Cricetulus griseus: one gene and its partner. Each later gene encodes a partner of the first gene's protein in a complex. Links are inferred from orthologs where the notes say so. Each region holds a gene or a part of one and is shown in the gene's direction. Other genes may lie near its edges.

What was found. Proteins that work in one complex are often made in the same cells at the same time.
Region 2: the proteins of Ywhaz (region 1) and Sos1 are in contact, whole or in part, in a crystal structure (PDB 6F08), measured with the Homo sapiens proteins. The link is inferred for Cricetulus griseus from reciprocal best matches to the Homo sapiens genes YWHAZ and SOS1. Residues at the interface, in NP_001129171.1 of Homo sapiens: Glu14, Asn38, Asn42, Ser45, Val46, Lys49, Arg56, Arg60, Phe117, Lys120, Arg127, Tyr128, Ile166, Gly169, Leu172, Asn173, Val176, Glu180, Asp213, Leu216, Ile217, Leu220, Asp223, Asn224, Leu227, Trp228; in NP_005624.2 of Homo sapiens: Arg1157, Arg1158, Pro1159, Glu1160, Ser1161, Ala1162, Pro1163, Ala1164, Glu1165, Ser1166.

What each region holds. Positions count from the first base shown.
Region 1 is NC_048603.1:14,723,428-14,727,170, forward strand, and holds the start of Ywhaz (14-3-3 protein zeta/delta), read left to right. Parts: upstream 1-1,480; 5' UTR 1,481-1,620; intron 1,621-3,743.
Region 2 is NC_048600.1:3,606,454-3,610,196, forward strand, and holds the start of Sos1 (son of sevenless homolog 1), read left to right. Parts: upstream 1-1,326; 5' UTR 1,327-1,420; coding exon 1,421-1,507; intron 1,508-3,743.

The sequences.
Region 1 (3,743 bases):
GTATATTTCATGCACGCGTGTTATTTCGGACATTAACAGCCATTCCCACTTTACAGGAGATTTAACCTAGTACCTTCTGTCAAATTGCGAGCGCCTACTACAAAGCTGGAAACCTGGAATCTTTTGAAGTGTTAGTCACCTACGAAGTGAGTCACTCCCTGCAAGAGTCTCCATGAGAGCCTGCATCGGTTTGCTCATCTATCTGTTTTAGCGGTGCTGTGGATCTGTGGATGTGCAGACTCGGGGTGGGTGGGTCAGGGGAAAGCGATCACAGGCAACTCTCGAGCTACCTATCTGCCATTTCAGGGAAATGATCATTTGTAGAGCAAGCTTATGACCAGACCATGTATCCGACAGACAGACACTGAGTTGGGGGAAGAACAGCTTGTCGTGGAATCTTCTGGAGAGCTATGGGCTGAATACTTTTTCCCCCCTTTTCTTTTTTCCAGCCAGCAGGAGCTGGGTAAAGGCGTTTGCTTCAACTCAGGACGCACGTTTAAAGGACGCAAGGGCACACGCTTCACGCTGAGAATGCTTCTCCCTCCGCTTCCGTCTGCTGGGTGGAGACCTTGCGGGTGCAGGCACCTGCAATTTCCGCCCTCTTCCTACCCCCTCTTCCGGGCCCAGGCGCTCCCGCCCCTGCTCGGGCGAGCGGCCCCCCTCCCACTGTCAGATGGGGGGCCCCGAGAGCGAGCAGCCAGTATCCCCAAGGTGGCTCCCAGGACCTAAAAGGCTCTTTGAGAGCGTTAAGTGGAGACAACGAGCCTCCCCGTCAAAGCCCGGCTGTGTGTGTGTGTGGGGGGGGGGGGGCAACAGTGCAGCGCCCGGAGATCGGCTCGCTGTGTGAGCCTGTGTCCCCCCAGCTCGCACAAGCCCTTCCCCTCTCCTCCCGGAGACCCCCCATTGTCTCCCTGGCTGTCACGGTCTGTGCGGGGCGACAGGAGGGACAGCGGGCGGCTCGCCCGAGCCTTAAAAGGTCTAAGGCCGCTTTACTGCAGCGGTGGGCGAGCGGGCGAGCTAGCAAGCGGCCACGCCCGCTGCCGCCCCGCAACCGGGGCTCTGATCACAATGCCCCGGCCGCAGAGCCCGCCGTCATTACCGGGGCGGCCGGGAGGGGGAGGGGCGGGTGGGGGGGGGGGAAGACGCGAAAGGTCCCGGATGTGCCCGCCAGTAGAGGTGTAGGGGGGAGGGAGCGGCTTCCTTCCGCGGGCCGCAGGGGCGGCGCGGGAGGGAGGAGGGAAGGAGGAAGGAGGGCGGCTCGCGGGGGCGGCGGGGGCGAGCCGAGCGCGCGGGAGGAGGAGGAGGAGGAGGCAGGGTCGGGGACGCGCTCTCCCTGAGCTCGCCTCGGGCGGGCAAGCGAGCGGGTGGGCGGGGCGGGCGCGCGCCGGGGGAGCGGCGGTTGCGCCGGGCACCAATCAACGGTTGCCATAGCAGCGTTTGACGTCATTGTGCGTGTGGTGCCCCTGCTGCCGGGGCTAGTGATTGGAGGAAACCCCGTGTCTGCGGAGCCGCTGTAGCCTGTGAGCAGCCAGATCAGGGACAGAGTCTCAGCCTCGCCGCCGCCGCCGCCCAGGGACACTGCCGACCGGGTCCGTGTGCCGCCACCCACTCCGGACACAGGTGAGCAGCCTCCCGGGCTGGCCCCTCCGCCGCTCGCCCGCCCCGCCGCGGCGGGCGTCCCCAAGGATCCTGGACCCGGGCGGCGGCTCGTCCCGCCGAGCCCCGGGCGAGCGCCCACGGCCGCCCCCGGGCCGCTTGCTGCTGGCCCTGCCGGGGTGCTGGTCGCCCCGTCCGCCCGTGTCCCGTGTCCCCGGGGGTGGGGGTGGCGGAGGAGGCGCCCACGCGCGAGACCCTCCCGGGTTTGGGGGGGGTAGGGCTGAAGCTCGGGCGAGCGGGCGAGCGCCATCCGCCCCCGCCGGCACCCGCTTCCGCCGCGGCTGGGACCGGGGCCGTGGCGCAGGTGAGGCGGCCCCCACCCCGCCGTGGCGCCCCCGCCGCCCCTCCCCCGCCGCGCGGGCAGCCAGGTAGCGCGCGCGCGAGAGAGAGCGAGTCTCCGGGGTGGGGCCGGCTCGCCCTCCCGCTTGCCCTCCCGCCGGGGACCCGGGGCTGAGCTTCCTGGGTCCCTCTCGGTGGCTCACTCGCTCGCACGCTCGCACACTCGGTGGGTGGGTGGGTGGTTGGGGGAGGGGCTCGGCCTGGGCGCCCCGGGGACGCAGGGGGGTCTCCGGCCGGGTGGGAGGTGAGCATCCTTCGGGGAGAGCGGGGGCTGCGCCGGTCTGGGTGGGGCCCGGCCCCTCCCATCCCCCTCCTCCTCCTCCGCAGCTGTCGGGGGCGGGAGGGGGGACCCCGGGAGGGAGAGAGCGGGGTGTGTCCGGTGCGGGTCGGCCGCCGTCGGTTCCGCTCGTGCGGGCGCCGCTGGCTGGCATCGGGGGGCCCCCTCCGGGTAGGGCGAGCCGCTCGCCGCCGCCTCCTCCCCCCCACCTCCACCACCCCACCCCACCCGACCCGACCGCTCCTCCCTCTCGGCTCGGCGGTGCTCGGGTTGGGTTGGGCTCCTTGACACAGTTCCGCCATGACAAAGAGAGAGAGAGGGCGAGCGAGCGAGCCGGGGACCGGCGGAGGCGCCAGCCTGGGCGGAGCCAAGAAGGGGAGGTGGCTGCGGGCGGCGCGGACGCGAGCGAGGACTGGCGCTGGCTTTAAAAAGTCTGGGGCGCGGTTTCGGCTCGCCCCCGCTCGCCCGCCCGCCCGCCCCGGGCAGGCGAGGGTTAAGTGGGTGCGGCGAGGGCTCCCGCAGTGTAGATGCTGGTTCTTCGTGTGCTTCCCGCGGGGAACCGGGCGGCTGAGGTCGGCGGGGGTGGGGCCGCCGGGGCCGCGCTGACATCACTTCCCAGGGCCGTTTCTGGTGTGAGGTTTCCAGACCGCAAAGGGTTAACTCGGCCTAGCCAGGCCCCGGCGCTTGTTTCAGTTGAGGATGCTTCTCATTGATTTAACGCCCCCTCCCTCCCCACACCACACCACCCCTCCCCACCCCCCAAAAAAGCGATTTCTGGAAAGGTTAAAGGAAAGGGTGCGATGGTGGCCTTGGGTGGTGGCGGTGCATTGGGCAGTGACTGTCATGGAAATTCATTTCCTGGGATCCCTGTGGTTGAGAACCGTGCTCTTGACCCCGTTCAAGGAAAGAAAAAAAAAAAAAGTTGATCAGAAATAAATTGGGATCTAGGGAACTTGAACTGCAAAGGAGATTGGCGGAGAAGACGTTAGGGCCGACTTAATAAATGGTGACTTGGAGAAAAGCCATGCAGGGGGAGTCTGCACCTAAACTGCAGTGTGACATCGCAGGGGGCGCCTGCGCTTGGGTTGGCCCTGAGTGCTCGCTCCCTGCTGCGCAAAGTGTGCATGTAACTCCATGTAGATGGGTCTGTCTGGTCTCGGGGCGAGTGATCCCTAGTGGTTTTATATTCAGGGTATCCTAAGCATCAGTCAGTCAGTTTCCTCAGATAGTTTTCATCCAGGAAGTGTAGCAGATCGGGCTGGAGAAAGTGCTAGGTAAAAGGTAATCCACTCGGGGTCAGAGTGCACACACTGAAGGTTAGCTGGCCTGACTCACGGTTCTGCGAGTGGAGTGCTCTTCATGGACCTTCTAGGTCCGGATCTGGAGTGTTCTCCCCAACGCACTCACGCACACACACACTCACACACACTCACACTCACACTCACACTCACACTTACCCTCTCACTGTAGG
Region 2 (3,743 bases), on another chromosome or scaffold:
TTAAGAACACTGGTTTCAAACATGTTTCATCTGTGAGATCTTGTTTATTGTACTCCAAAACAGCAGGACATAATGTCAGTTTGAGCCCAGGCTGGTTCTTCGAACTGTCTTCTCAACTATGAAATTAAAACTCTGAGAACTAAAACACTTTACTCGGAAAGCGTTCAATGATAAAGCATAACGTGCCACAGTGTTGCACAATGCCACTGTCACAAACATCTGCATCCCTGGGATGGAAGGACAATTTGTAGATACTGCTTCTACAGCGTTCCGGGATCTTCATGTCTCTATTCTGGGTCGTGTGCCAGAAGAAAAAATAAACCATTCCTTTCAGAAGCTAATTATCCAACTGAAGCCGTGAAAGATACAAAGCAGGGTGGACTAAGCCCGTAAATGTGGCCTGTGGGTTTGAGTAGACGCGATCAATGACTACTACACATACACGTTTTCATGTTATGGAAAGGACGAGGGAAACAGGACGACCTCTCCTCCCACCGGACAAATACTGAGCAGAGGTTTTTGTGAGACGGAACCTATCTTTTGTGCTATCTGTTTGGTATACAGTGCATGCTCAGGGCACTCCTTATCTTCATGCTGGGAACAAAGTACACACACCCCTTTCTGAGACCCAGGGTCTTAGGACCTCCTGGAGCGGCATGGGCTCCGGGCCTACGGGGCCACACAAAGGGGGCGTTTTGCCTGCTCACCCCCCCCCCGCCCCACACACACCCAGGCCCTTCGGTCCCGGGTTCGCCTTCAGGGTCCCTCGGCCCCGCCCCTGCAGTGCCCTCCCAGCCTCTTGCGCGCGCCCCTCCTCATCCGCGGGCAGCCGGAAAACCCGGAGCGAACCGGCCTGGGCCGGCGGCGCATGCTCAGTCGCGGGCAGGTTCAGTTTGCTACTAGGAAGCTCCAGCGCTACACGCGGCGGCGGCGGCGGCGGCGGGCGGCGGCGGCGGCGGCCCCAGCAGCGAACTCCGGCCCTTCCCCGCCTCCGCCCGACCCCGGTCCCCGGGCTCCGCCCCGCTCCGAGCTTCGCGCTCGACTTCCCCGCAGGCCAGCGGGAGCCACCGGTTAGAGCGTCCCTCCACGCGCCGTCTCTCGGCGGCCCAGGCCGTGCCGGGGAGCGCAGTCCGGTTGCGGGCGTCGGAGGGCGGCCCGGGGCGGAGCGGGGGGCCTGCCCCGGGGCGGTGGTGCGGGATGCAGCCGCCGCCACCGTCGGGCTGCGTTGGTTCTCGGCGACCGGCGCGCGTGTCGGGTGGGTGGGCGGGCCTCGCCCCCAGCCGCCTCGCCAGCGCTAGCCCGGCCGCGCGGCGCCCGAAGGGGCCGGGCTGTGCGCGGGCTGCGGCCCTGCTCCGCTCCGCTCCGCGCCGCGCCGCGAGCCGCCGCCCCTCCGCCCGCCCCGAGGCGTCCCGCGGGCACCATGCAGGCGCAGCAGCTGCCCTACGAGTTTTTCAGCGAGGAGAACGCGCCCAAGTGGCGGGGGCTGCTGGTGCCGGCGCTGAAAAAGGTAGGAGCGCCGAGCCCGCTCCCGGCCGCAGCCCGCGCCGGGCTGGCCGAGAGCGGGGAGGCGGGGCGCGCACCGCCGTCTTTCTCCCTGGTCGGCAGGGTCCCCGGGAGGACCGTGCAGGCGGCGATCTTCCCCGCGCCCGGCTGCTCCAGCTGTTGACACCCGCCCGGCGTGCGTGGGAAGGCCACACACAGTTGGGGAGGGTTGGCCCCGATAATCCAAGCGCTGAGGCGACGGTTAGAGGAGCCTCGGTTTACCGTGGAGGTCAAAGAAGGCCACTGCCTACCGTCTCGGTCTTAGCGAGCTGCGGTCAGCCTCCCGTTTTGGGAGTCCAGTGCGCTCTTACTGGCTGGAGAGTGCCCTGGCCACAGTGCTTGCCTAAGTAATTGCGAGGTAGCCTGCCAGCAAGAACATGGCCTGCTTGGCTTTGCTCGCCTTCAGTCACTAACTCCCGGTCCTTTTGACACTCCCCCAGCCCCATTACAGGGGTGATGCACATGCCACTGTGTTCAGATGGGTTCTTCTGGGGAGTCTGAGAATCTTTGAACCCTTGTTTGGTTTGGCGCTTTGTATTTTTAGTCTTTGTGTGTTACTTTGATTTTACCAGAGGTTAAAGTAAATTTTTTTTGAAAATGTTGCTACATTTTAAAAGCTCCTAAAGCAACACTGTAAACAGTCTGTTCTTTGGTTTGGCATTTCGAATTTTTAGCCTTTGTTTTTTAGATTGCTAGTGACTAAATCTTAAAAGCTTCCAAAGCAACATTGTTACTTAGTAGATTCTGTAGTAAGACATCTGAAACAGAGGTGGTTGAGTGGATTTTAAAACAACCGGATTGTTTTTGCTCACATTTGCCTTACCTGTAAAAACTGCTTTACTCTTTCAGTAGTTTTAATCTAAATTTCTTGTTGCTCAAATAGTTTTCAAGCTATCTTTGCTAAAATACAGCTTTGTTTCAATTGAGAATTGAGAGTGTTTACTGTACCATTGTGTGGAGGCTTTTATTATACCAGAGAGTTTTGAAAGGTGTTTCATAGTCCTCAAAGGCTAGCAACTTTTAGTTTCTCCTTTGCCCTGTTCATCCCTTCCCCTGTTGGTATCTTACGGTGGAAATTGCCAGAAGACTTTGTTTTTATTTTTCATATTTAGGTTACTGGTTTCTATCCTCAAGTGTCTCACTGCTTACAAACCTCTGTGGTGTTTTTCTATGGAAATCAAAGAGGCCACCTTGTCGTGCATACTTTGTTCATTAATGATCCCATGAGGCCTCACTCCGTCTTTTTTTACATTGGTTTACCTGCACACTTGACTGCTTAGCTTGTAGAAGTGGAGAAGTGTGCCTCAAGATGCTTGAAGCTTGGTATCTTGACAAGATGAGAGAGAAGAGTTGATTTATATGTATAAAAGCCCTCACAGGACATTACCAGTTTGGGGTATTTGGTTTAAAAGCAAGGAGCTCAAAAATAACACTTGAGAACCCTTTGAAGTGGTGGAAAGTGCATTGTAGAAGTTGGCAGACCTCTCTAACCTGCCACATGGGTGGCCCTTGGTGAAATCTATTCACAGACACATTTGTTTGGCTGTCATTGTGGTGTTTTGTTTTTTAATTTATGTAATTAGTTGCCACTATCCTAAATGAAAAGTATCACATAGGCTGAATTCCTATTTTGTTCTTGAGTTATAGACAGTCTTGCCATTTTCACACAACAGTAAATTACTAGAGTTGTAAGTGGCTGCCTTCTTGAGAAAGTGTTGTGTTTCCAGTTTAACACAGTGTTACTCAGGTTGGTTGGTTTTCCATTTCAAGCAGAGGTATCCCTGCAGAAGTGATGTGTTTATAGAATCTTCCTAACATGTAAGGTTCTTCTCATTTAAATTCTCACCTACAATGCTCTTCAGACACCTAAGACAGCTTGGACATATTTTTCATAATCTGAATATGCTCTTGTATCTTAAAATTACTGAATTATCATCTATGTGCTGGGCATTTCATGTAGATGTGTCCATGGACATTTTGTGTGGGTGTGTCCTTATCTTGAACTCTTTCTTCAGACTTTAAACTACTTGTATAATGCCTAACTATGCCTTTTCTTACCGGAGGCTTTTTGGACAGACTGTTCCTTTTATCTGGTCTAATACTACTCAATCTCAGAGATTTTTCCCAAACCCTCAGGGCTGAGTTGGATAGTGCTCCATTGTTTCATGCTAGCATCTTATCCTAACGCAGCAGTGCCTTTT